7 linked regions of the Callithrix jacchus genome follow. The protein of the gene in region 4 interacts with the protein of the main gene of each other region in a pairwise test. Links are inferred from orthologs where the notes say so. Each region holds a gene or a part of one and is shown on either strand. Other genes may lie near its edges.

What was found.
Region 1: the proteins of NTAQ1 (region 4) and RBPMS interact in binary tests that used the Homo sapiens proteins (3 or more experiments, as listed by UniProt). The two-hybrid records come from large-scale screens. The link is inferred for Callithrix jacchus from reciprocal best matches to the Homo sapiens genes NTAQ1 and RBPMS.
Region 2: the proteins of NTAQ1 (region 4) and ACTG1 interact in binary tests that used the Homo sapiens proteins (3 or more experiments, as listed by UniProt). The two-hybrid records come from large-scale screens. The link is inferred for Callithrix jacchus from reciprocal best matches to the Homo sapiens genes NTAQ1 and ACTG1.
Region 3: the proteins of NTAQ1 (region 4) and BLMH interact in binary tests that used the Homo sapiens proteins (3 or more experiments, as listed by UniProt). The two-hybrid records come from large-scale screens. The link is inferred for Callithrix jacchus from reciprocal best matches to the Homo sapiens genes NTAQ1 and BLMH.
Region 5: the proteins of NTAQ1 (region 4) and CBY2 interact in binary tests that used the Homo sapiens proteins (3 or more experiments, as listed by UniProt). The two-hybrid records come from large-scale screens. The link is inferred for Callithrix jacchus from reciprocal best matches to the Homo sapiens genes NTAQ1 and CBY2.
Region 6: the proteins of NTAQ1 (region 4) and CCDC102B interact in binary tests that used the Homo sapiens proteins (3 or more experiments, as listed by UniProt). The two-hybrid records come from large-scale screens. The link is inferred for Callithrix jacchus from reciprocal best matches to the Homo sapiens genes NTAQ1 and CCDC102B.
Region 7: the proteins of NTAQ1 (region 4) and COIL interact in binary tests that used the Homo sapiens proteins (3 or more experiments, as listed by UniProt). The link is inferred for Callithrix jacchus from reciprocal best matches to the Homo sapiens genes NTAQ1 and COIL.

The regions. Positions count from the first base shown.
Region 1 is NC_133514.1:31,625,894-31,629,393, reverse strand, and holds part of RBPMS (RNA-binding protein with multiple splicing), read right to left. Parts: coding exon 3,462-3,500; intron 2,247-3,461; coding exon 2,184-2,246; intron 1-2,183.
Region 2 is NC_133506.1:137,174,493-137,178,532, forward strand, and holds the start of ACTG1 (actin, cytoplasmic 2), read right to left. Parts: upstream 2,801-4,040; 5' UTR 2,732-2,800; intron 2,353-2,731; 5' UTR 2,347-2,352; coding exon 2,224-2,346; intron 2,136-2,223; coding exon 1,896-2,135; intron 1,622-1,895; coding exon 1,183-1,621; intron 1,101-1,182; coding exon 919-1,100; intron 827-918; coding exon 683-826; 3' UTR 1-682. UniProt on the Homo sapiens protein: Actins are highly conserved proteins that are involved in various types of cell motility and are ubiquitously expressed in all eukaryotic cells.
Region 3 is NC_133506.1:103,329,405-103,333,364, reverse strand, and holds the start of BLMH (bleomycin hydrolase), read right to left. Parts: upstream 2,801-3,960; 5' UTR 2,638-2,800; coding exon 2,625-2,637; intron 2,334-2,624; coding exon 2,136-2,333; intron 1-2,135. UniProt on the Homo sapiens protein: The normal physiological role of BLM hydrolase is unknown, but it catalyzes the inactivation of the antitumor drug BLM (a glycopeptide) by hydrolyzing the carboxamide bond of its B-aminoalaninamide moiety thus protecting normal and malignant cells from BLM toxicity.
Region 4 is NC_133517.1:73,963,403-73,967,114, reverse strand, and holds the end of NTAQ1 (protein N-terminal glutamine amidohydrolase), read left to right. Parts: intron 1-2,444; coding exon 2,445-2,554; 3' UTR 2,555-3,212; downstream 3,213-3,712. UniProt on the Homo sapiens protein: Mediates the side-chain deamidation of N-terminal glutamine residues to glutamate, an important step in N-end rule pathway of protein degradation.
Region 5 is NC_133506.1:164,856,529-164,860,821, reverse strand, and holds the start of CBY2 (protein chibby homolog 2), read right to left. Parts: upstream 2,801-4,293; 5' UTR 2,744-2,800; coding exon 2,654-2,743; intron 2,032-2,653; coding exon 1,951-2,031; intron 1,920-1,950; exon of another isoform or gene 1,275-1,919; coding exon of another isoform or gene 1,227-1,274; exon of another isoform or gene 1,187-1,226; intron 1-1,186.
Region 6 is NC_133514.1:111,492,655-111,496,154, reverse strand, and holds part of CCDC102B (coiled-coil domain-containing protein 102B), read right to left. Parts: intron 2,837-3,500; coding exon 2,216-2,836; intron 1-2,215. UniProt on the Homo sapiens protein: During interphase, forms fibers at the proximal ends of centrioles to maintain centrosome cohesion. During mitosis, dissociates from the centrosome following phosphorylation to allow centrosome separation. Contributes to CROCC/rootletin filament formation.
Region 7 is NC_133506.1:109,380,970-109,385,238, reverse strand, and holds the start of COIL (coilin), read right to left. Parts: upstream 2,801-4,269; 5' UTR 2,777-2,800; coding exon 2,532-2,776; intron 1-2,531. UniProt on the Homo sapiens protein: Component of nuclear coiled bodies, also known as Cajal bodies or CBs, which are involved in the modification and assembly of nucleoplasmic snRNPs.

The sequences.
Region 1 (3,500 bases), on a different chromosome or scaffold from region 4:
CATTTAAATATTAAAAAACAACCTTCGGGCTGGGTGTGGTGGCTCAAGGTTGTAATCTAAACACTTTGGAAGGCCAAGGCAGGAGAATCGCTTTAGTCCAGGAGCTTGAGACCAGGCCGGGCAACCTGCCTTTATTTTTTAACAAACAAACAAACCAACAAACTCCTTAAGTTATCTTACAAAAAAACAAAACAAAACAAAAATGCAACCTACCACCTAAGGGAATGCTGCCTTGTCAGATGAGAGGTCACAATAAAAGCCTATTGCTCGGAAAATGAGTCAGTGACATCTCTATACACACATGAGAACTACAGTAAAGCAGTGAGAGCCACGTCTGTGATGCTTCAACTGCTTGTTACTTCCTTAGTAAGAACAATGAAAAGAACATGGTGAAAACTTCATCTAACATAACTTTAAAGGACCCAGAATATTTCTGCATTTAGAAGGTGTCCACCTAGTTAAAATAAAGTTTCAATTTCTGCTAAATTGAAACTGTGGTTCTATTTTCAAGTTTAAAGTGTCATTATACTGGGAAAATTCAGGTTTTATGTATTTAATGCAGAATCAAAACATTCCATTATATACCGGGGTTCAGTGTATACCATTGGTGTTCAATAAATAACTGGTTTCTGCTTTGTTCTACAGGAGAGGAACAGAGTGAGTAGGCAGCTATTCTGACCAGCCAAATCCAGAAAAATTCTGGACTGTGGAATTCCTGGAATCCTAAGGTGTTCCTATGTGTTTTATATGAAAACAACAACAACAATTAAGCAGCTTCTTCCCAGAGTGTACACATTTTTGTTCCAAAGTCTAAAATCTTTCAATGTTGTGTATCAATGACACTATTATACAAAGTAAACAGACTCATATAAAGACTTTTCCTTGGACCTCCAAGTCATTACCTATATCAGGTATTTCCAACACCCCTCTACATGGTCTGCTCAAAGGAGCAGCTAGCCAGTAGGGTACCTTAAGGTAACACAGCAACACAAAGACCAAACACAAGTTCCCAGAAGCCTCCAAAATGGTACCTGTATTGCAACCAGTCAAGTGGTTGCTTGCCTTTTAGGAAGCATCCTTAACACTCTTAGTGCTTTAATCAGCCCTTGCTCATAGCCACTTAGGCCAACTGCCTAGAGCATGATGGAGCCAGACCTCACAGAGACTCAGCACATGAGGATTCATCCTCAGCATCTGAAACTACATTCTGCTTCCTTTCACCTTCTCTAAGCTTAATTCCCTTAAGTTGTTTAATTTTCCAACATACGAAAGAAGAAACTTATTTACCAAAACAATACTGGCAAAAGTCTCAAAACACACAGCAAACAACATATCTACAAACCAAATACAGGTATATCTACTTAATTACAAATGACTGTAATTTATTCTAACACACATGCCTTTTGGGAAAGCCTTATAAGTAAATTTTTAATCAACCAGAATAAAGGCTATGACCAGTTTTTTGTTTGTTTGTTTGTTTGTTTGTTTGTTTGTTTTAAGCTGTATATCTAAAAGGAAAGCCTCATGAAATAAGAAAAGCCAGGATTTCGGCCGGGCGTGGTGGCTCACGCCTGTAATCCCAACACTTTGGGAGGTGGGCAGATCACAAGGTCAAGAGATCAAGACCAACCTGGCCAACATGGTGAAACCCCATCTCTACTAAAAATACAAAAAAATTAACAGGGTGCGGTGGCGCGCACCTGTAGTCCCAGCTACTTGGAAGGCTGAGGCAGGAGAATTGCTTGAACCAGGGAGGCGGAAGTAGCAGTGAGCTGAGGTGGTGCCACTGAACTCCAGCCTGGTGCCTGGTGATGGAGTGAGAATCTGTCTCAAAAAAAAAAGCCAGGATTTCTATCTGTTCTGGGCGTAGCCATTTAGAGTACAATGACAACCAAGCCAATCTCTCAATGATCTCCTCTGGAAAAAACAAAGCAGCACTACACACCACCATGGGATAGGATGGGGCTGGATTAAAATAAGACCCACATCATCAGATGTCAGGTACTTTGAGCATATCTGATCACAATTCTTGGAAAAAGCTCTTTAGAGGGCTAAATTGATGAATCCCTCTCTCTTAGATTGAGCAGTCATATTCTTTCCACTTGAATTCCCGTCCAAAGAGATTCCACTACTTCCCATCACCTCATATGGAAACCCCCTACAATTACATCATTAATACTTACATTCAAAGCATTCTTTGCAGCTTCTGCTTCTGAGCGACTGTCAAAACTGACAAAACCTACGGGCTGAGGAAAAAAGAGAAATATGAAGAAAAAAAAAATCAGACGATATCTATTTTTCTGGGTTAAGGGTGCTATCAAACTGAAAAGCTAAGACAAAGAAATGATCACAGGCAATGGGTAGAAATAAGAAAGCGAAATACCGAAGAATCATGACTCAGTGGCTTAGCCAAATTTCTAACATGAATCAAAGGGATGGTGAGGGTGGTTCTTCAAGGGCACAGCTGGGGATTTAGAGAATCATAAAAAAAATCTAGAAGTGGTTGAAAGGTGAACAGCAGTGAAGAAGGGAATAGAGGAAAACTTGGGTCGGAGAGGCTCTACTTTCCTAAATCAAATTCACTGTACCTCAGTTTCTTCATCTTTTAAAATGGAAAGAGAACCGAATCACCTTTTGGTACACTGTAAGTGCAAGGAATACAATGATACAATGATAAAACCCCTGGACTCTCACTGCATGACCAAAATGACAAAGTGAACATTCCTATCTCAAATCCCAAGGGATGCCTTAAAAATCTTGTGCTTAATTACGCTGTTCTGAGTAAATACAGGAAGGCCATAACCCCTTTGGCCTCCACACATCTATCAATCCAGAAGGGTGTGCCTCCAAGATCATTCTTTTGATGAAACAGAGAGATAGAACAGTGACTGGAGGAGAGGTGTGTATGCCAAGTGTTTAACTTAAAAAAAAAAAAAAAAAAAAAAAAAAAGAATATAGCTACGATCTCTAAGAAACTTGTAGGAAACTGTCAGAATCACTGACTACCACTTCCATTTTGTACCTTCTCTGTTCCATTCTAGACTTGGGACTCTGCCTTACTTTAGTGGTTTGACAGACAGCATGATCCTTCACTATCTGACATGATGTTAAACAAACTGTAAAAGTTTAACATCATAAAAAGAAATGAGAAAGACTTGGGAATAAAAGTGAATTTAGATAATAAGCCATTATTTTCACTGATTCACCAAATCAATCTCAATAAACTACTGTGTTTATCTTGCTCTGGGACAGTCCCTGAAATTCCAGCTGAAGACTACAGAATTATGAAACATTTTCCTGTGCTAATTCCTAATACATCTCACTCACTCTTAATGTTAAAGACCAGAAAAAAAAAAACAAAACTCAAATTCTAATGTGAATAAAAAAAGAATATCAAGCCCCAGCAACATTCCTGAAGAAAGTAAAAAAGTGATCTTTATATGCCAGTTTGAAATTCTTACCTGTTTAGATGTGAGCTTTATAAGAGAACCCTCATAGCC
Region 2 (4,040 bases), on a different chromosome or scaffold from region 4:
CTTCACACAATGACGTGTTGCTGGGGCCTAATGTTCTCACATAACAGTAGAAAACCGAAATTTGTTGTCATCTCTTTCAAGATTTGACAGTTGTGTACAATAAAAAAAAAACCTTACATAAATTAAAAGGATGAATACATTTACAGGTGTAAATGAAAACCGCTTCCAACTCAAGGCAAGTAACAGCCCATGGTGCTCTGGCAGGAAAACATCAGGTAAGAAAGGAGACCGGGTCCTATGGCTTGGACTTTCCCACCCTGACAGACTGGCAGCCCTTGCCAGCCTCTAGAGCAATCCCAGAACACTAAGCTCTGACACATGAATACCCTGCTCAACTAAGAGACTGCTGGCCATGCACTCACCAAGGCAGACTTGTCTGCCCCCAAGCACATTTTTACCTCAGCCACGAAGTGACCAAGCCACATGTACTAAAAGTTGAAATCTGCTATGTACAGGGTATTAAACAAATAAGGGGAACAATTAACTTGAATACAAGGTCAAAATCAGCAACAAGTTCTACAATCCAGTGCTGATATCAGATACAAGCTTCAAGGACAATTTCTTTTCAAAGGCTTATTCCAGTTTCATGAGGCTAGCATGAGGTGTATGCATTTGCCAGGGGCAAATTTATACTTCCGAATTAACCCATGCAGCAAATGCTACGCATCTGCTCGCAGTCCATTTAGAAGCATTTGCGGTGGACGATGGAGGGGCCAGACTCATCGTACTCCTGCTTGCTAATCCACATCTGTTGGAAGGTGGACAGTGAGGCCAGGATGGAGCCGCCGATCCACACGGAGTACTTACGCTCTGGGGGTGCAATGATCTGCAAAGACAGCCAGGCATGGCTTGAGTTCACACAGCATCCCCAGCCAGGCATCCTGAGCCAGGCCGAGGGCCACCGATCCCTTAACTCACCTTGATCTTCATGGTGCTGGGCGCAAGAGCAGTGATCTCCTTCTGCATCCTGTCGGCGATGCCTGGGTACATGGTGGTGCCGCCAGACAGCACAGTGTTGGCGTACAGGTCTTTGCGGATGTCCACATCACACTTCATGATGGAGTTGAAGGTGGTCTCATGGATGCCACAAGATTCCATGCCTAGGGGACAAAGCCCTCCCTTAGTGGTGCTATGGTGCCCAGAATCAAAGCGCTCTCAGAAGCCCTTAGACTGAACACCTACCAAGAAAAGAAGGCTGGAACAGCGCCTCCGGACACCGGAACCGCTCGTTACCAATGGTGATGACCTGGCCGTCAGGCAGCTCATAGCTCTTCTCCAGAGAGGAGGAGGATGCAGCTGTGGCCATCTCCTGCTCGAAGTCCAGGGCGACATAGCACAGCTTCTCCTTGATGTCGCGTACGATCTCCCGCTCGGCCGTGGTGGTGAAGCTGTAGCCGCGCTCCGTGAGGATCTTCATGAGGTAGTCGGTCAGGTCCCGGCCAGCCAGGTCCAGACGCAGGATAGCGTGTGGAAGGGCATAGCCCTCATAAATGGGCACCGTGTGGGTTACCCCGTCTCCAGAGTCCATGACAATACCAGTGGTGCGCCCAGAGGCGTAGAGGGACAGCACGGCCTGGATAGCCACGTACATGGCTGGGGTGTTGAAGGTCTCAAACATGATCTGAAGGTAGAAGACGAGACGGCTTAGTCAGGGGCAAGGACCCGCGACCACCCCATGCTCACACGCCACAACATGCTGCATGCCAGTGTGATGTGTGGAGAACAGAAAAGAACGCAGGCAGAAACCAAATAAGAAACCTGGAGGCTTCAGGGAGGAAATGCCGGGAGAGGAACAGAGCCTGGAACAGCGAAAGAAACACTTAAATGTCAGAAATCAAGCTGGGCAGAAAATGACTAGGAAAACGGACGAGAGCACGGGCATCGCCGAGCCTCACCTGAGTCATCTTCTCTCTGTTGGCCTTGGGGTTCAGGGGGGCCTCGGTCAGCAGCACGGGGTGCTCCTCCGGGGCCACACGCAACTCATTGTAAAAAGTGTGGTGCCAGATTTTCTCCATATCATCCCAATTGGTGACGATGCCGTGCTCGATGGGGTACTTCAGGGTCAGGATGCCGCGCTTGCTCTGGGCCTCGTCGCCCACGTAGGAGTCCTTCTGGCCCATGCCGACCATCACGCCCTGCAGGGAGTTGCCATCAGGCTCGCCGCGGCCCCCGATCCCATCCCGCAGCGCAGAACCCAGGAGCCCCGTGGCGCCCTCCACTCACCTGGTGCCGAGGGCGCCCGACAATGGAGGGAAACACGGCTCGGGGGGCGTCGTCCCCAGCAAAGCCAGCTTTGCACATGCCGGAACCATTGTCGATGACGAGCGCAGCAATTTCTTCTTCCATTGCGACCTGCCAGGAAAGCGACGGACTCAGGCGGGGCCCGCTGGAAAACAACCCCGCCACCCAGAGCCAACCAAGACCCTCCGGCGGAGGAGCGTTACGCTCCACCCCAACCCCGGAAGCCGAAGCCTCCAACACCACAACAGCTTTGAACCAGCACCCGTGCCTTTTACGTAAAGCCCACCGCCCCGAACTCCGCACTGCGGCCGGGCCCCGCCCTAAACCTACGGCATCCGCCCAACGGTACCCGCGTGGCCCACCCAGGCGGAGCCAGCCTTTTGTTCCCGAAAACGACGCGGCGAAGCGTCCGCGGCGGAAAGCGGGGCCCGCGGGGGTCGAGGGGGGACGGCCAGAAACATCCTCCTCGGGTCCGATGAGGAGCGCTTACCAGCAGAGGAGCAGGGGAGCGGAGCAGCAAGAGAACACCGTACGCGACCTGGCAGCGGCGACTGAGACCGACTGGGGCCTCCCGCGCCGCTTTTTAAGAGAAAGCAGCGCGCCCGCGCGGCCCGGCGGCGCGCGCGGCCCCAGAACATGTCCATATATGGCGATCTTTCCGAAAGCCGGGCGCTCATTGGCCCGCCCGGCCTGGTCACGTGGGGCCCCGGTCCGCCCCGCCCCCAGCCCGCACCACCTCCCACCGGCACCGCCTGCGCCACCCCCGCGCGCTCGCGACACTGGGGCTGGCGAGGGGGGCTGGGTGGGGTCTCCCTCCCGGGGTCGCTCGGAAGGCCGAAGGGCTGACGGGCCTGGCTGCGACCCGGGACTGCCGTGTGGGGAGGGCCGGGCTGCGCCCCGAAACTGCCTGACCCGGGGCGGGGCCATGCGGGAGCTGGGGTGGGTCCCCGCGGTCCGGGCCACGCTGCGGGGCTTTGCTCCCCGGGACGTCCCCTGCGGGCTTTCCCTTCGGGCTCCACGCCCGGGCCGGGCTGGGGGAGGGGCGCGGCGGGGATCCCCGGCGCTCGGCGTTTCTAGGTGCGGGGGAGCCCTCACCTCGCCCCGGTCACCATAGGAAGAAGCCTCCCGTCCCCGAACGCAGCCACTACCCCACAGGTCCCTCCACGGGGCGCCCCGCCCCGGGTCTCCGTGGGTTTGGAGCCCGATACCCCTTTCTACCCGAGCCGACACATCCCTGTCCCTGAAATCACAGGCCCGGTTTGCCCCAGGCGCAGGCTCCGGGTAGGGGCTATCCCGCCCCCTATCTGCTGAGTAGGCGGTGCGCAGCGAGGCCTTTGTTTCATGCTGCTCACCTGTAGACATTATAGGGAAACTGAGGTAGAGACCATAATCTTGACTTTCTTGAAGGTCGGCTCCCCAGTCTGGGGAGGCCGCGGGGAATCCCCTCCCTGTTTTCGAGGCCAGTTAAAGGCAGGGGGTCAGGGCTGGCGTGGGTTTGGGCACAGGCTGGCTGGTCCCGGGCGCGCACGCCTCGCTTGGAGACTCGGCGGGAAGACCTGTCATCCCCGGCACCGGCCTGGCCGCACCTGCTAGCGCGGTGCTTCGGTTACACCCCGCGGGGCTCCCGGCGCTACGGTTTCCGTGTGTGCTGTGGAATTTTCAGGATGAGAGTGCCGGCCACGGAGGGGCAGTGGGGCGGCGCAGTGAGGCGACGACTCGGCCAAGGTCGCAGACCGTTCAGCTGTACTCGACAGGCTGGGGGGCGGGACCGAGGTCCCCACGCGGAGTCCCGCGCCCTG
Region 3 (3,960 bases), on a different chromosome or scaffold from region 4:
CCTATTCTCAGCCTCCCAGAGCTCTAGGATTATAGGCATGAGCCACAGCATCTGGCCAATACTTTAGTAATTTAAATATATCTTAGATTTAAAATCATGTTAACATAATAAATGGACTTAGAAGCACTGTGTTTCCCACTTTACATGTCATTTTCACACTGATTCAATCTTCACATGTACCTAGCAGTCAGTATCTGTGCCATCATTAGATCCATTCTTTCAATCGGCACACGTCATCTTTCTTCCATCTAGAATGTTTGAGTCACAGCAATGTTTTGAATCCATGCATGATGCTGTCCCTGAAAATTCTATACCAAGCATCAACTACACAATCAGATTCTTCATGTGTCCTGTATGTGTATAATCACAAACTCCACGTCACCACTTCCTGTTCTGACTTAAGTGGTCTTCATTTAAAAGGTCTATTTACAACATCAATTTATTCAAATTTGTCACCTTTTAAAAGAAGCTGATTCAATAAAAGGATCTCTGTAAGCATGCAAAAATGTATGCATCTGAGGTTTTTCAGAATAAAGTCTTCTCCAAATTGTACTCTACTTCAAAATAAATTAACTGAGAGTGCCCATTAGAAAAGTCTTCAAGGTCTTAAATATAGGGTAATTCTCTCTTCTCTGAAGGAAAATTCTGAAGGAAAAACCTTGAGTTGTATTGGGTATAACTTTACTGGTATGAAAATATGTTTATAATATATTGGTAAGTGAAAAAAGTAGGTAGACTACATAACAATGTATAGGCTATCAACCCACATTAAACACACATACACACACACACACACACACACACACACACACACACAAAGACCTGACAAATATATAGCAAAAATATTCACCTGGTATTTGTAAATATTGTACATTAAACAAAAATAATTTTGTAACAAGAAAAAAACTCTACAGTTAACTATAGTGTTTTCTGAAAGTCACTAGTGCCTTACTATAGTTCATCTTTTCCTTAGATTTATCTGTATGCAACCTCTCTTCTATATGCTACATATTTCTAGTAGAAGGGATCTGGATGCACTGGTGATGTGAAAACTGCATGAAAATAAAGTACACAGCTCACATGCTATTTGAATCTTTTGTATATATTAAAGTAACACTGCAAAATGTGTAAGACCTGACCTGTTCCCTAAGAGATCACTGCAATCTAAACTATGTAGGACCACTGTAACATTACCAACTGGATCATCTGTAGCCTGAGAGTTCACACCACTCCAAGCACTTTCTTCTAGAGCAAAACACTAATTATTGTAAGGTCTTGACTTTTTCCTTAACATTTAAAAATCAACTTTATTGATGTATAACGTACATACTATAAAATGTATTCGTGAAACGTGTGCTTTGTGAGTTCTGACTGACTATAAACAAGCACTAATGTGCTTCCTGTTCATACAGATAGACTGGGAGTCGTTTTTAAGTAGATAAAGACTTTTTAAAAATCCTTTTACTACAATATTGTGGTGAGAATGTGCTCCTTAATTAGATCCCTAGAAATCCAATCTTTCACTGTAGCTGTTTTTCTGAGAGTGGTGTAAGAAAGTAGAGAGCAAAACGAGACTTCTTGACCAGTAAGACACGAGAACAGAACTTTCTCCAGTGTTACAAACTGATCTACTGGTGGGAACTGAGCCCATCAACACATTAGCTTCAGTTGTAACCAAGAAGCAGCTTTAAAAGTAACACCTGATGGCATTTTAATGTAATTACATTGTATCTTTCCTATTTCATAAATTTGTATAGGGCCTTCAGGGCATTTCTGGAGAGTCCTCCAAGAATATGAACATTTCCGCAATGCTCTGTTTTGTGACCAAGACCATCGATCTGCAAGACATGGGCTACAAACCACGTAAACATCAGGACATAATATAGTGAATTACACTCAAACGTATGCTCACGGACTTGTCACTTTAGTACTCTAACCGCATGTGCTAACAAGCCACAGTACACTAAAACAAACCACATGGGTAATGTTCTTAGACCTGCCTGTACCTGTACCTCATTCTCTACGAATTTACGACCAGCTCTTTCAGTACGAACTTAAGACCACTCGTAAAGACACCAAAATGGGATGCTGTCAGGAAGGTCAAGGAAAAGTACGGGAGAAGTGGAAGCCCATACCTGAGCTCTTCTGGTTGGTGACGGGCTTGCCTTCCTGGGGCACGGCGTGCTGGAACACATGCTGCGCGCGCTGCACCGTGGCCCGCTTCAGACAGATGTCCAGCAGGTCGTGGGTGGTCCCGACATTCTGGGCAAGTACGAACTGGGGGTCGGAATTCAGTTTCTGTATTAGAGCAGCTACCTTCTCCGAATTCAGTCCTGTTGGGAAACCAAACGGGATTTCAATGCCAAAAAGACCGGGGGAAAGAGCTGATCTGGGGCTCCCGCATCCCGGATCTAACTTGGTAAGCGCATCCTGAGGTGCCCGCTGCAGCGGGGAAACCCAGGAGCAGCATCCACCTCCAAGGCGCCGTTTCCCTTCAGGGCCCCTCCAGGCCGCTCCAGCCTGCCCCGAAAGCTCCCTCCCCGCCATCGCCCCCAGCCTTCCCCGCCGCCGGGCCTCACGAGGACCGCGGAGCTCCTCCAGAGAGGACCACGGCGGCGCCTCACCCGCGCTGCTCATGGCGCCCACGGTGCCCGGCGAGGTAACGGTAGCTTCCAGGGTCCTCGGGCGAGCTCCGGGACTGCGCTGCGGCTCGCTGCCTAGGTGGCCCGACCGGCTTCTTACACCCGGAGCGCCGGAAGAAGGAAACCGGCTCTGCTGCGGCGGCCAGGAGTCTGAGGTCGGGAGAAACGGGGTCCGCGGAGGGACAAAACTACCCCTCGCGTTGCTGAGTCAGCGACGTCGGAGCTAGCCCCGCCCGGGGGAGGGCCGACGGGGGCGGCCTGGCTGACGCGCTAGGTCGGCCCGCGCCCACAGCCGCGCACGACCACACCATTGCCCTGCGCGCCTGGGCGGCGCCGGAGCGCGATCCCCCACTACCCCGATGGGTTCCCGCCTCCGCGCTGCGCGGGCGCCTTGCTACAATCAGGCCAGCTCCAGGAGGGAGGCTGACGGGTTCCCTACGGGCCCAGACCCCGAGTACTCACTCTGGCATAGGGGAATTGTCCCCAGGAAGCCTTGTGAGAAGCCAAAAGCGGGCTCGAGGCGGGAGGGAGATGCTGAGAGGTTCCGTAATTAAGCGTCGGGCTTAGGACGGGTTGATTTGTCACAATACATGCACCCGAAGGCTCTTCCTACCGTAGGCTTCGTTTGCTGACCAATCACTGCATTTTCAATGGCCACTTGTTGATTGGATCAGAATCAAATAATTGTCTTGGAGGAGAAATTGGAGCCAAGCTCTTTCCCACCCACTCCAAAGCTACTACCAGAGTTCTGCAAATAGACATGTGCTCATTTCAAGAACACTACCCATCTGGTCTTCATGGAGTCCACGAATGTCTCCTATGTAGTCCAGCATGTCCTGTTGGGTTTAACTCAGGAGAGAATGACAGTGGTCAGCCTTAAGCATCAATATTGTTTCACCGGATTCTCTACAAAACCTCTAGGCTTTCAAGATAACTCAGCAGTTTTCCAAAGTTTTGAGATTGTAAAAACCTTGTTTTTGTTGATTCTGTTTTTCATGCCCTGAAATCTCAGCCCTTAGTGAGATGTTGGGTTAGAACCCACAGAGGGTAAAACTAAAACACTGAAACCCTGTATCTGCTATTCAAAACAATGAGTGTGTGTGTAACCTAGAATCTAGGTCTTCTTAGACTGAAAATCATCACAGGAACTCTGATATCTGGAAAAATCCATACTCAGGCACCAATCAGTCATTTGAGAAATTAGTTTCCATGTCCCTAGAGAGACTCAGCTAAAACTTGGGGTTATAACAGCAACTATTTTAAGTGGGCCCATCTACCATCTATTCTTTCAATATCTGAAGAAGGGGCTGAAAATTAT
Region 4 (3,712 bases):
GTGCATAGTAGACATGTAGTGAATCCCTTGTCAGCCCTTGTCCAACTGGGGCAATTCCTTTGGTTTTGATGACTACTACTCATTGGATGCTATTTTGTGCTGGACTTTTGCCAGCCCAATTACTATATGTGCTGTCGAAGCGAGCATTGCCGGCCCAATTACTTTTCTTTCTTTTTTTTGAAACTCTGTTGCTCAGGCTGGAGTGCAGTGGCATGATTTCAGCTCACTGCAGCCTCCACCTCCCCAGTTCAAGTGATTTTTGTGCCTCAGCCTCCCGAGTAGCTGGGATTACAGGCATGTACCACCACACCTGGCTATTTTTTATATTTTTAGTAGAGATGAGGTTTTTCCATGTGGGCCAGGCTGGTCTTGGACTCCTGGCCTCAGGTGATCCTTCCGCCTTGGCCTCCCAAAGTGCTGGGATTACAGGGGTGGGCCACTGTGCCAGGCCCATCTTAGTTTAATTTTTACCACAACTCAGTGAGGCCAGTTGTATTTTTCTCATGTGATAGATGAATAAAATGAAACACAGGAAGGTTAAGATGTTTGCCTAAGGGTGCACAGCTAGGAAGCTGCCAGCTCAGTTGGCACCCTGAGGGGTTTGTCTTTTTTTTGAGATGGAGTCTTGCTCTGTCGCCAGGCTGGAGTGCAGTGGCACGATCTTGACTCACTGCAACCTCCCACTCTCTGGTTCAAGTAATTTTCCTGCCTCAGCCTACCGAGTAGCTGGGATTATAGGCAGTTGCCACCACACCCAGCTAATTTTTGTATTTTTAGTAGAGACGAGGTTTCACCATGTTGGCCAGGCTGGTCTCGATCTCCTGACCTCGTGATCTGCCTGCCTCAGCCTCCAAAGTGCTGAGATTACAGGCATGAGCCACCATGCCCAGCCTCGAGGAGGGATTTCTTACAGGAGGAGTCTTTTTGGCCTCACCTGTAGTTAATCAGGAGCCTCTTGCACATGAAATTGAACCTAGAGAGACTCTACTCTGAAGTATGGGGTAAACATATTGGTTTCTCATGTAATAATTTAATCAAATTGTAATGTTCTCTTATATGGTAAATTCGTTACTTCAAACGCTATATTTATTGAAGGAATGTATTTAGAAGTTAGGTAAGTGTGAATTACTTGTGGTGAATGAGTAGTGTTTTATTAAAAAAATAAGGAATTTAAAAAACAAACAAAAAAATGACACAAGAAAACAGACTTTAGGCTGGGCGCGGTGGCTCACACCTATAATCCCAGCATTTTGGGAGGCTGAGGTGGGTGATCAACTGAGGACAGTTTAAGACCAGACTGACCAACATGGTGAAACCCCGTCTCTAGAAAAAATACAAAAAAAAATAGCTGGGCGTGGTAGCATGCACCTGTTAGTCCCAGCTACTTGGGAGGCTAAGGCAGGAGAATCACTTGAACTCGGGAGGCAGAGGTTGCAGTGAACCAAGATTGTGCCACTGCACTCCAGCCTGGGCAACAGAGCAAGATTCCGTCTCAAACAACAACAACAACAAACACAAATTAGCCAGGTGTGGTGGCGCATGCCTGTAATCCCAACTACCCAGGCGACTGAGGCAGGAGAATCGCTTGAATCTGGGAGGTGGAGATTGCAGTGAGCTGTCTCAAAAAAAAGAAGACAGAATTTAAATTAAGACATGTTTTAGATACATGCATTAATATAGCAGCCTTTGGGTTTAGTTATGGAATTGACTCAGTCTTTTTTTTTTTTTTTTTTTTTTTCAAGATAGGGACTCAGTATATTGCATAGGTTGGTCTTGAACTCCTGGCCTCAAGCAGTCCTCCTACCTTTGCCTCCCAAAATACTGAGATTATAGGCATGAGCCACCATGCTGGCCAGGATTAACTTTTTTTTTTTTTTGAGATGGAGTCTCACTCTCTTGCCCAGGCTGAGGTACAGTGTGAGCCACCATGCCTGGATCAGAGCAGCCTTTCATTGAGGGCTGACGTAACCCCCCTACTCTGACATGACCCTTCTGAAGATGCTACTGAATGCTCAATGTTACAAGTTCTCTCCACTCTGGCTGGTAGTGACATGAATTATTTCTAGCCCTCTGGAAGTTCTGGGTATTATTAGATCTACTCCTTCTTAGTGATTTTTTTCCCTGGCCTCTTGAAGTTTCATTCCATAGAAGAGAAGATCAGTACTTAGCCAGAGACTCAGGGGGACCCCTCTGCTGATCTCTGGAGCTCTCACTTTCTGTATAGTTCCCTCTTCTCTGATATATGGTTTCTCTCAATTTGGGTGTGTCTGTTTTGTCATGATTGGATTGAAGTTATACATTTGAGGCAAGAAAACCACAGAAGTGACATTGAGCCCTTATCCGTTTGGATAATTTTACCTACTGTTGGTCTTCTGTGTTGTTTTATTGCTGTTAAACTAAAAATTGTGTTTTCAGTGGATGTCTTTTTTCATGTATTTTTCTAGATTCCAAAATGAACCTGAATGATTTCATCAGTATGGATCCCGAGGTAGGGTGGGGCACTGTCTACACACTTTCTGAATTTACACATTGGTTTGGCAGTAAAAACTGCTGAAGTTGGCCTCAAGATATGGAACTGTGGAAAAATTCTAGGACACGAACATGCTATTCCTCCACTGAGGACAGCAAACACTAGGGTAGAGTTGGCTTGGAATTATGTCTTTCTCTTTCAGTTCGATTGAGTGGAAACCTGAGTGAATACGAATATAAATGAACAACATAAAAACTTTTGTTTTGACATGTTAAATTGAAACTTGATATCTAGTGTGTACTTGCTAAGATATTCCTGTGGCTTATTTGTTAAAACATGTGGACTTAAGCCAGTGATCGTTTTTGTTCAGATAGAGGTATGGAGGTTGAGCCAGCCCCTCATATCTGTCTGGATGTTTTGTGTCTCTCCAACTACATTGTAAGCTCCTTGAGGGCAGACCCATGGTCCATTGTTCTGTGAATCTCAAATGCCCATAAAAGGTGCCCATAAAATGTTTTCTTTTTTCCTTTTTTTTTTTTTTTTTAGGGAGACTCACAGACTAAAAATGTTTTCTTGAACATTTGAATGTGCTGTTAGGAAAGGGGTGATATTGTGAGCTGAATCAGCAAGAAGTATTAGTCTTTTTGGACTATGATATTGTTAAAAAGAGGGCAGCCCTCTCAGACTTGAGTGTTATTTAGCTTATTTATTTATGGCTTTAAATAAAATTGATTTAACACTGGTTTTGTTTTGAAGGTTTTTGTGTCACCCTTGATGATTTGAAATACCTAAAAATGCCTCAATTGTAGGTGAGAACCAGGGCTTTAAAACATATTTATCACATGTACCTTCCGGAAGACATCTTGGTCATTTGGCTTTAATCATATTCCAGATAAAAGATATTTGGCATTAAACTGGTGTATAGTACCAACTCTCATGTTTTCATGATTCTGCTTTAAAAATGAACAACTTCTTACAGCAAGATTATCTGACCTTTTGTTCTTAGATTTCTATTTATTAAGAGACTGTTGGCTGGGCATGGTGGCTCATGCCTGTAATCCCAGCACTTTGGGTGGCCAAGACACAGGTGGATCATGAGGTCAGGAGTTCGAGACCAGCCTGGCCAACATGGTGAAACACTGTCTAAAAATACAAAAATTAGCTGGGTGTGGTGGTGGGCAACTGTAATCCCAGCTACTCGGGAGGCCAAGGCAGGAGAATCGCTTGAACCCGGGAGGCAGA
Region 5 (4,293 bases), on a different chromosome or scaffold from region 4:
CACCCACACCCCTCCCCCAGAGTGCCAATCTTGAGCATCCTGACAGGTGTCCATAACCTGGTGCGTGGCTTGTGCCCGCTTGGCAGGTGTACACACAAGGCTGCACGTGCCCATGTGAGGTACAGGTTCCCAGGCAGGAGATTTACTCTCATTCTCCACCCACTCTCCCCGCAGGAGCCCAGCAGCAACACTAGGTCCTCCAGCACAGGAAGCAGGCAGCCTCAAGACAGGCTGGAGCTGTCTTCAACCACCTCCTCTCCTCCTTGACTACTGGGCTGTTTCTGGAAGCTGGGGAGGGAAAGTGTGGTGGGCGTGGGTGGAAACATCATTCCAGCCCCTCTATCACATGACACTACTCTTTCAAATCCTCTCCCCTCCTTCATACCCACCCCTGGGTTGGCACCCTCTGCCTGACCAAGTTTCTTAAACACCACCTTTCCCAACATTACTGAGATTACTATCAGAGAACATTCAGCCATCTGACGTAATTTCAAAGCGTGTAAAGTGAGAGGCCCCCGGAAGAAAAGATTGATTTACATGGGCTATGAAAGAATCACAGCAGTGGGCTGGGCGTGGTGGCTCCCGCCTGGAATCCCAGCACTTTGGGAGGCCAAGGTGGTGGATCACAAGGTCAAGAGATCGAGACCATCCTGGTCAACATGGTGAAACCCCATCTCTACTAAAAATACAAAAATTAGCTGGGCATGGTGGCACGTGCCTGTAATCCCAGCTACTCAGGAGGCTGAGGCAGGAGAATTGCCTGAACCCAGGAGGTGGAGGTTGTGGTGAGCCGAGATCGCGCCATTACACTCCAGCCTGGGTAACGAGAGTGAAACTCCATCTCAAACAAAAAAAAAAGAATCACAGCAGTAACACCAGCTCTCGGGGCAGTAGGGGCCAACACAGATCCCTGTGTATTTCAGGTGGAATCGGGCCCAAAAGGATTCCTACAGTTTGTTATCAGCTTTCTGTCACCCTGTCAAATGATCAGGAGGAAGTTATCTTATATTCAGACTAAGATTCATGAGCTAAAACGAGTAGAAAAGTCACTCTTCATGACAAAGTTATAAAGATAACCTGAAAACAAACATCCAGAATGCTTTCTTCTTCCGTACTTGTGCCTTCTGCGGAACGTACTTGCTAGACTGTTACCACCATACATCCGGAATGTCCTAATGGTCAGTCCTCCTCCCACACATCCCTGGACAGAGTTCTGAGATAGTTACCTCTGCACTGGATTCCTCCATCCTACATTTCAACCCCTCTGGTTGCATGGCCCTGCCCTTCCAAGGCGGCCTTAGGTAACTCTGGAGAAAGCAAAGCCACCCCTTTGTGACATAGCAGCAGTAGAAACAATTCAATCAAGAGGACCCCAGGAAACAGCTGACTGCAGGCAGGAGGAGACCCGAGACTCTCTAGCCTGTGAGGACGTCACCAATTCACTGACCTCAAAAGCATCCAGGCCCATGGCCCTTACATCTGCCTTTGGTGCACAGCAGGGCTTAATTCTCTCGACGACTCCAAATAACTCTGTGCCCCTTTGTCCACGGACTAGGTTTTCTTCTCATGGATTCATTCTTACGCGTTTGATTCCAGTCCCAGTTCTAATTCTCCCTGAGAAATCCAGAGCAATTGCACAACACTAAGCACCAAGAGATCTCGTTTTGAGAAGGCTGGGCTACTTCAGAGTATCACAGAAACTCGGAATGTTAGGACTGGAAGTGGTTACCAGACCATCTGACCCAGCCACCTCACTCGTGGGGAAAAGAGCCCAAGGCCCGGAGCGGCTATCTGCTCTTCGCCAGCACACCGCCCGCTGGCAGCCACCCCAAACTAGAATCTGAAGCCCTATCTCTGCTTATTCTACATCTTGCTAGAGTTCTGACGGAGGAGGTGGGGGGTTCTTCTGGGTAACACTGGTAAGTTATATCCTTCTGTGATTACCCCTACCTGAGGTAGAACCACATTGACTGGGATTTCTGGGCTTTCTGATCTGGGATCTCTTTTTCTTGTAAAATCTGGCCTTGAGTTCTGTGGAAAAGACAAAGGAAGATTGCAGCTTCCCAGCTCATCCTCTGGGCCGGGTTTCAATTGCTCACCTAAAAAACATAGAACTTCCTACTCATTTATTTCCCTCTTGTCAATTATGTACAATTACGAAAATCTGAGTCTGGAAGAATGTGTAGATGGTATCTGATATGATGGTTTATCAGTCTCCGAACAGATATTTAGGTAGATATTATAGCCAGGCTCGGTGGCTCAGGCTGTAATCCCAGCACTTTGGGAGGCCGAGGTGGGTGGATCATGAGGTCAAGAGATCGAGACCATCCTGGTCAACATGGTAAAACCCTGTCTCTTAAAAATACAAAAATTAGCCAGGCATGGTGGTGCATGCCTGTTGTCCCAGCTACTCCGGAGGCTGAGGCAGCACAGTCACTTGAACCCGGGAGGTGGAGGTAGCAGTGAGCTGAGGTCACGCCAGTGCACTCCAGCCTGGTGACAGAGTGAGACTTCATCTCAAAAAAATAAATAAAATAAAAAATAAAAAGGATAGATAGAGTTGATGTAAAAGGCTTTTGAAAGTCTTTGAAGCAGAGATAGCTGTACCTGCTTGTCTAAGATTATTATTTCTATCTCAAGTAAAAAGCCATACCAATGTGAGTTGCCAAGTATAGGTCCTATGCAGAAGTTGGTCACCAAAACACTCAGAACATTCCAGAGGTGACATCACAAAACAGCTCATGGTTTCTCTCTGAGCGTCACAGGTGGGAATGAGGCATCTGACAGGCAGGTAGAGCTTGTGGGGGCTGTGACTACTTGGCTGGTCAGGGTCAGTATGACACACAATAGCCCAAACATCACCCGCTGTTGGGTCATCCCAGCAGCATTCATGTCCTCACTGCCGGGCTCAGTGGAGAGTCCTGTCCTTTCACCAGAAGTGGTATCTTCTTGGAGTTGGGTCACTCAAACTAAACTCTTCCCAGACCAAGGGAGAAAGTGTAGTCTGAGGTGTCTTCTGACACTCTCGATTCTTTAATTCTCTGACACCAACTGTGTGTCCTACCATTCAATTTCATTCTGACACCATCTACCTGGAGTTAGTGTTACAGAGCGGAAGGGGCTCACTGGCCAATGCAATAGAAGACAATACTAAAACTAAGTTCTTTAAAAAAGAAAAGCTTTCATATTGAAAGTCAACTCACAAGGAGACAAGAGTCAAGCTCAAATCTGTCTCTCTGTGCTGGCATTAAGGCCGCATTTTAATAGGAAAAGGAGGTTCAGGGGGTGGAGTCTGAGATTAGTAGGTGATTGGTGGATGGAAATGGGAGGTCTGGAAAGCATCAAAGAGTAAGAAACCAGTAACAGAATTTTTTGAGTTTGCAGGACAGCAGATAAGAAAAGAAGGAAGCTTCTGAAACACTGAAACTCCCTCCACTTGCGAGATCAAAAGCCTGGCTGAAGTGGGTTAGAACCAAGATGGCTGACTGGAGTTGGCATGGAATGAGCCCCAATTTCCACCCTTGTTTCGTACTGACTCCCTCTGAATTTGCACACGCCACTCAGGAGTTAACATGAAGAAGTAACTGCACATGCCCAGGGACTTTTCAGACCTCCCCTTTCCTTGCACGAATCACCTACTAATCTCAGAATCCACTCCTTGAACTTTTTCTAATAAAAATGCTGCCTTAATATCAGCACAGAGAGACTCCTTGACTCAGATGAAAAAGATCTTTGGAAATGTAATTAATCGTCTTCTTGGTTTTACCAAAAGCAGATTTTCTTCAGTCAAAGCTTCTTGTAATGTGGGTGTGGGAGATGGGAGAGGGAGTTATAGCGTCTCTGATTCTGCTGACCCTGGTCTATCTCTTGGAGTTCACTTTCAAAATAAAGCTATTCTTTTATCCAAAGCCCAGTGTCATGGTACTGGCCTCTGGCACATCAGGCATCAAGCTCCTTTTGCCCAATCACATTAGCATCAGATCCCGTAAGCTAGGGGCTCAGTTGCACAAGCCCACTTCACTTCAGATGCCAATCAGAAATCTGAGCCACCTGTACTTCTGATTGATCAGCTACACATATCAGGGGTTTCACCATGTTGACCAGGATGGTCTCGATCTCTTGACCTCGTGATCCACCCGCCTCGGCCTCCCAAAGTGCTGGGATTATCGGCGTGAGCCACCACGTCCGGCCTGTTACAGTTTTATTATAAAGGTTACAACTCAGGAACAGCTAAGTAGGAGAGATGCATAGGACAAGATATTGAGGATGGGGAGACAGGGAGCTTCCATACTC
Region 6 (3,500 bases), on a different chromosome or scaffold from region 4:
CATTTCTAAAAGGGTCTGCTTTACCTCTTTGTTTGTTTTCTTTTTCTAATCATAGCTAAAAATAACCATGCACAAAGTTGAACAGCTGAAAAGAATTTTTTAATGAGTTGATGAATTCTTTTTCAAGTTTCTTTTGTCATAAGAAAGACATAGTTTCAAAGTAATTATTTTTGTAACATTTTTGAAAGACGATAGAATTTTCAGAAAGCTCTTGAATATTTCAATAAGCTCACTTATTGCTTTATTTTAGTTAATGAGTCACATCTCAAATAGAATTTAATGGGACACTTGATACGGACATCAATACTAGAGCAGCAACTGCGTCAATATTCTTAGTGCGTAACTCAAAAGCTTCACAGGACTCATGCTATTGGTATTTGACTATAATTTAAATTTACCCTAGTTTATAAGTTCGAAGTGAAAGACAATTTCAAATAAAATCTCATTGAATAATCAAGTTTAAGTAAAATCTCCAGAATGCTTCAATATTTTATGTTTTAAATAATATATGGGTGCCAGATTACCTAGTATAATTCATTCCTCAATTCTCTCAAGAATGAGTATTGCAATTATCTGTATCATAATATTTTGACAAACAATAAAATAAGATGTATTGTTCATGGAAAGTATTGAAGTCAGATGAATGATACATATACATATCTTTCTTGTTGGGCATAGAGTTGGCAAAGTTAGGTCAAAGTTTTAAGGAAAAAAATGATTAAAACTTCTTCAACAGGTAATATTTATTTTCCTACTATCAGAAGGAAATTCCAGAAGGATTTTTTGCAAATAAATAAAGTTTAATAAATACCTACTATGTTTGATTTCTTCTTGACATTAATGTTACAAAGATATTTCAGAAGAAATCCCAAGATACTGAGAATTTTCCATAATAATACATGTGAAGAGAATCCTTCATTCTCTCAAATGCAAAGTCTAGTAACTTGTAATAATAAAAAAGTCTTGTGGATTCAGAGAACATTATGTGAGCTACATTCCCTTATGCTTGTCATTACATTCCTCTAGCGCATACATTAATATAGCTGAATTTCGAGAATATATGATTTTCCAAAAGATACATACAAAGGTACTAACAGCCTAGATTATCAACATTGAATGCTTTTAAAAGAAAATGTAAAAGAACAAATAAGAAGAAGTAATTACATTATTGTAATCTTCTTCATTATTTTATTTGCAATGAATTCTAGTTTTTATCTACCATAAATTCTATATGTTATAGAATGGCTTAAAACACTAAATGCAATGGTAGTGGTGCCAGATATTAACTAATATGTATTAGAGGTGGGATAAAGTAAAAGAGGTAACAAAATAAACTGATATTATGATAAGAGGTAACAGGAGTTCCCAAAGTATGTTCTTTGGGTTGTTAATAGTATTTACCAAGTTCAAACAAACAAAACAGAGTGGCGGTTCATGGGTGAATAAGTGTACAAACTGATAGACGTTTTAAAGTTACACTTGTTTTGTGCAGAATTCTCAGAAACTGATATTCTAAGTATATCAAGAAATTCCATCAGTGTGGACCATATGAAGCATTTCCTAAAGTACCCTATTTGCCTGCAGTACCCATTTTATAAGAAGTTAATCATGAGGCTTGAGTCCCAAACTTTGAGAAATATTCAAACTACACTATGGATTGTTCACAATTTTGACAAATTAAGGTAAATGGAAAGAAATGTCTCCAAATATTTTCTTTTCGGATAAAAAATTGTTGAGTTTTTTTCCCTATTAATATTAGTAAAACAACTGGTATGGGCTGAAAGTGTGCTTTCCCAAAATTTATTTGTTGAAGTCCTAGCCCCCAGTACCTCAGAATGTGATTGTTAGTAAAGACAGGGCCTTAGGATGATGATTTAGTTAAATTAGGTTCATTAGACTGTCCTAAAAGAACTTAAGACACAGACATGTGTACAGAGAAAGGACCATGGAAGACACGGGGAGAAATCAGTATTCTATAAGCCAAGGAGGGAGGCCTCAGAAGAAACCAACCATGCTAGCACCTTGATCGTGTACTACTAGCTTCTACAATTGTAAGAAAATGCATTTCTGTTGCTTAAAGCACCCTGATTAGGGTACTTTGTGACGGTAGCCCTGGCAGACTAGCATAGTCACCACTGGATTTGTCACTTCCTTCTTCCTCCCGTCACTACGTATGACATTCAGAAATTCACATCAACTCTGGATTCTTTCTTACCTTATTATTTGTTTCCTCCTTTGTAGAAAATTGTCTTTTTACTAAACACTCTCTGATAGACTCACACATTTGAAAACCAAATCGAAATTGTTCTCTATGTTCACAGGATTCTTCTACGAAACCAGGAAGCTTCAGATCCTGGGTGATTTTAGCTTCTAATGCCTCCTTCTGAGGTGGCAAACTCTGTTTCTTTTTCAGTGTACTCAATTCTTTCATTGCCATCTCTAGTTTTAGCCTGAGTTGTCTTCCTTCCTCCCTGGCACTGTTCCTTTCCGCTCGAACTTTACTCCATTTTTCTCTCCAGTTGGCAGTGCAGTCCGACCACCACCGCATGGTCTTTTCCATCTGAGCAGCTCTGGCCTTGACTTCTTCAAGTTCCCGGAGGCGAAGTTCTTCACAAATATCCCATTCATTGGTGTTACATGAATGTGCACATAAATTGTGAGCAGCATGAGACTGTAGCCCATAAAATGGGAAGCAGGTATTATAGGTATCCCTGGTGGGTGAGGCAGGTGCCACCATGTCACAGTGTGACTTAATTGATGACTGCTGCATCTGGAAGATCTGTGTTTCCTCAATTAACCGATGAATGGAATCTAAATTCATATTTATCGTTAAGACCTAAGAAAAGATAGAGAACATAATTTCACTCTGAAATTTCCCTTGCAATTACAAGAACAAGACCTACATTTTCGAAAATTTATGAAAGCAATGCATCTTTTCTAAAAAAAGAAAAAATACATTGCTTTACATGCATTTGTTTGTTTGTGTGTCTCCTGCTTTGCTTTTTTTCTTTTTTGCTTGTTCTTTTATTTTCCTTTTAGTTTTCTTTTTTTTTTTTTTTTGAGACAGAATCTTGCTCTGTTACCAGGCTGGAGTGTAGTAGCCCAATCTTGGCTCACTGCAACCTCTGCCTCCCAGATTCAAGCAATTCCCCTGCCTCAGCCTTCCGAGTAGCCGGAGTTACAGGCATGTGCCACCACACCTGGCTAAATTTTGTGTTTTAGTAGAGATGGGGTTTCACCATCTTGGCCAGGCTGGTCTTGAACTGACCTCATGATCCACCTGCCTCGGCCTCTCAAAGTGCTGGGATTACAGGCGTGAGCCACCACATCCAGCCCCATCTTTTCAATATTGCATATTTTTCCAGTGTAGCTAAAAATATGGAGGAATTTAAACATTTGTAACTATCCACTAAGAAATAGAAAATGCTCATATTCAATTTTGCCAAACAAATACAAGTCAAAATATAAAGATACAATTTCAGATAGCATATGACATAAAA
Region 7 (4,269 bases), on a different chromosome or scaffold from region 4:
GCTCAATTCCCTAACCATTTTGTTCCATGCTGATGTCTGCTTTCTCAACCGACTTCTGCACTTAGCAGTATAACTTGGTCTAACTGGTCAGTCTAATTGCCGGTGTCACAGAAGGTAATATACAGAAGCATGAAACTCATTATTTTGGTCCCAGTCCAACAATATTAGGTACTTTGAGAACAGAGACTATGTTTTCTTCTGTAGCTCTGAAGAAAAGTGAACTTTTCAGGGAAAGACAATGATTGTGGGCCTGAAACAACAAAAACAAAGATGAATTTTCCAGATTCGTCTTTTTCTACAGACTGCCCATTTGCCACTGAAGCCACTGCAGAGGTCTTTTTACCACATGCAGCTGTGCATTTGAAGCATTTACGAAGAATCTGCCTGTCATCATGTTGTAATTATTACTTATAAGAGTTTTCATTTTTTTGTCATTGTTAACTTCACTATGAAGAATGTAATGCCCAGATGATTCATTAAAGTATAATTATAGTTAGCTGGCACAGATTAATAACTAATTAGGCAAGGGACAGTGCAAAAAATACACTTAATAAGATAGGACACAATACTTACAATTGAGTATTTAAATAGTCCTTGAACTGCAGAGAGAATAGACACCTATTTCACAGTCAGTAAAAAGGAAAAAAAAAAAAACCTCTGAAATTTAGATTATTTCAAATCATCATTTGAAACAGTTGAACATTATTAAATCATAACATTTTGATTTGAAGAAGCAGTTATTGTTCCAAATTAAATTCCCTGACGTTCTGAAGAAATCTTATGGAATCTGACATGCTCGAGGGTAAGGAATATTCAGTAACAAAGGGCAGCAAGAGAAAATAGCCTGGTTCACAACTCTGGAATTGATTCACTGTAGCTGAAGCTTAAAGGGGGTGGGTGGAGGGAAGGCTGGCGTAGTGGCCCACGCCTGTAATCCTAGTACTTTGGGAGGCTGAGGCAAGAGGACAGCTTGACCGCAAGTTCAACCAGCCTGTGCAATAAGGCGAAACTCTGTCTCTACAAAAAACACAAAAGTTATCCATGCCTGGTTACATCGCCTGAAGTCCAAACTACTCAGGAGGCTGAGGCAGGAGGATTGCCTGAGCCCAGGAGGTGGAGGCTACAGCAAGCTATGATTGCACCACTGCACTCCAGCCTGGGCATGGGAAACCCAGTCTCTTTATTTAAAAAAGAAAAAGCCTGAATAAATGGGTCCAAGATATGAATCCAAACTGGAATCATAGGATCTCATCATCTTACCATGGCAACTCAACCACATTTTGGCAATTCATACTACAATTGCTCCTGGATCCTCAACTTATTATCATTTTAATTTCCAAAAGCATATTTCAGAGTATTTTGTGTTTCCCAATTCACAGCCCGAAAGGACTCAGACACCTATTTGAGTGAACCCAGGCACATGAGAACTAAAGTTGGACAGGAGCATGTTATGAAGAAAATGTGATGATTCCCCTCTGTCAGCTTGGGTCTCCTGTACCTGACCCTGAACGCCGCCAAGGGTAAGGCTGGGTCTTCCGCACACCTGCACCATGGGCATGGAAAACAGTGCCTTCCTCGCTTGCTAAGGGGCCGATGTGCTAAATCAAGGCTGAAAGAAACCCTGGGCCTGCCCTTAGACATCAGGGTTTTTCCGAGTTTGGTCCTCCTGTCATCAGAAGCAACTCGGGAAGGATGCTCGTTAAAATGCAGATTCCAGCCAGACGCAGTGGCTCACCCCTGTAATCCCAACACTTTAGGAGGCTGAGGCAGGAGGATCACTTGAGGTCAATAGTTCAAGACCAGCCTGGTCAACATGGTGAAATCCATCTCTACTAAAAATGCAAAAAAAAAAAAAAAAAAAAAATTTGCTGGGCATGGTGGCACCCACCTTTAATGCCAGCTACTCGGGAGGCTGAGATAGGAAAATCCATTGAACCCAGGAGGTGAAGGTTGCAGTGAGCCGAGATAGCAGCACTGCACTCCAGCCTGGGTGACAGACTGGGAGTCAGTATCAAAAAGGGCTGGCCTCAGTGGCTCATGCCTGTAATCCCAGCACTTTGGGAGGCCGAGGCGGGCGGATCACCTGAGGTCGGGAGTTCGAGAACAGCCTGACCAACATAGAGAAACCCCATCTCTACTAAAAATACAAAATTAACCGGGCGTGGTGGCGCATGCTTGTAATCCCGGGAGGCTGAGGCAGAAGACTCGCTAGAGGTGGAGATTGCGGTGAGCCGAGATTGCGCCACTGCACTTCAGCCTGGGCAACGAGAAACTCCGTCTCAAAAATTAAATAAAATAAAATAAATAATAAAATACAGGTTCCTGAATCCCAAAGTTGACTACACCAATCAGGATCTCCGGGGTTCGCGAACGTCCATTTTTACAGTCCCACCTCCCGTCCCCCATCCCTCGTCCTCCTTCCTATCCCTCACCCCCTCCCCATCCAGGCCTAGCGGTCTCAGGCCCAGGCGTGCGCAGGCGCGTCCCCCGCCCGCCGCCCACCCGGCCGTCCCGTTCCCCGCACCGCCCACCTGAGGCAGTCGTTGTCTCTCACGAGGCGCGCGCTCTCGGCAGGGGGCAGGAGCCCCCCCTCCAGGTAGAGGCCTAGGAGGGCACCAGAACTGAAGCCGAAGCGCTGGCGGATGAGACTAATGAGATCTGTGACGACTCGGCATCTGTTCAAGTCGACCAGAAGCCAGAAGGCTGTACAGTGCGGGGTAGCTGGCGGTGGGTAATCAAATTGAAGCCGTAGCCTAACCGTCTCGGAGGCTGCCATCTTGCTCGGTGCTCAACGGAAGCCGAGAGATACCACAGGGCTACCGAGTGGCGTACTCGGGCGGCCCGCCCCTCGGAGCTTTTGGCGTGTGCTACCTAGTGGTGGAACCTGGCTACTACAGGCTACGTTAGGGCGAGAACTCGGAGCATGTGGTTGATTTCATTCAATTATTTTCACTACAGGGCTGTGCGAGGGAATAAGTGAAATGCCTTTATTACATTTCTTCCGGGCGCTCTGTAGGGTCTCCTAATTAAGGCGAGTCTCTGGATAAATAACTTCTAAGATACTTACTCATCGACGTAAAAGATTTGTATAAAACAGTCGTAACACATTTCACTGACAAGTTTTCATCATAATTAGTTGAAAAAGATGTAAATCCTAGGCCGGGCGCGGTGGCTCACACCTACAATCCCAGCACTTTGGGAAGCCGAGGCGGGTGGTTCACGAGGTCCAGAGATAGAGACCATCCTGGTCAACATGGTGAAACCCCGTCTCTACTAAAAATACAGATATTAGCTGGGAATGGTGGCACGTGCCTGTAGTCCCAGCTACTTGGGAAGCTGAGGCAGGAGAACCGCTTGAACCCAGGAGGCGGAGTTTGTGGTGAGCCGAGATCATGCCATTGCACTCCAGCCTGGGTAACAAGAGCGAAACTCCGTCTCAAAAAAAAAAAAAAAAAAAAAAAAGATGTAAATCCTAGTGTGTTCTCAGTGTTGACATTTTGAAATAAAACTGCTAATCACTCTTTCAAATGTTTCCAGTGGAATATGAATACCTTAGCCTTTTAATATCCACTACTAAACAAAAATGTCCTTGTATTTATCACCAGTAAGTAAATCAGAAGTTTTACATTATTTCTTTTATTTTTCGAACTAGAATTTACATTTCTCCCACATAATATATATTAACTCTTAATTTTCATGACGAAAGTTAGGAATTATGAACTATTATCCTCATTTAGAGGATTTTTTAAAACCAAGGTTCAGAGAGTTTAAGAAATAACACTAGAGGCCAGGAGCGGTGGCTCACACCTGTAATCCCAGCACTTTGGGAGGCCAAGGTGGGCAGATCACTTGAGACCAGGAGTTCGAGACCAGCCTGGCCAAAATGGTGAAATCCCAACTCTACTAAAAATATAAAAATTAGCTGTGTGTGGTAGCATGAGCCTATAATTCTGGCTACTCAGGAGACCGTGGCAGTAGAATCCCTTGAACCCAGGAGGTAGAGGTTGCAGTGAGCCAAGATCGCACTACTGCACTCCAACCTGGGCAACAGAGCAAGATTCTGTCAAAAAAAAAAAGGAATTAACTTCCCCAAAGTCACTAGACAGTTAAGTTGTAGGTACCAGGGGTTCCATAGATGAATTGAAAACAAATTTTTTAAAGTGAAAGCAAGGTGTTTTGTTTTTCTTTTACTTTTTTAACAGTCTCATTGTCACCCAGGCTGGGGTGCAGGGGTGCGATCTCTGCCTCCTGGGTTCAAGTGACTTCCCA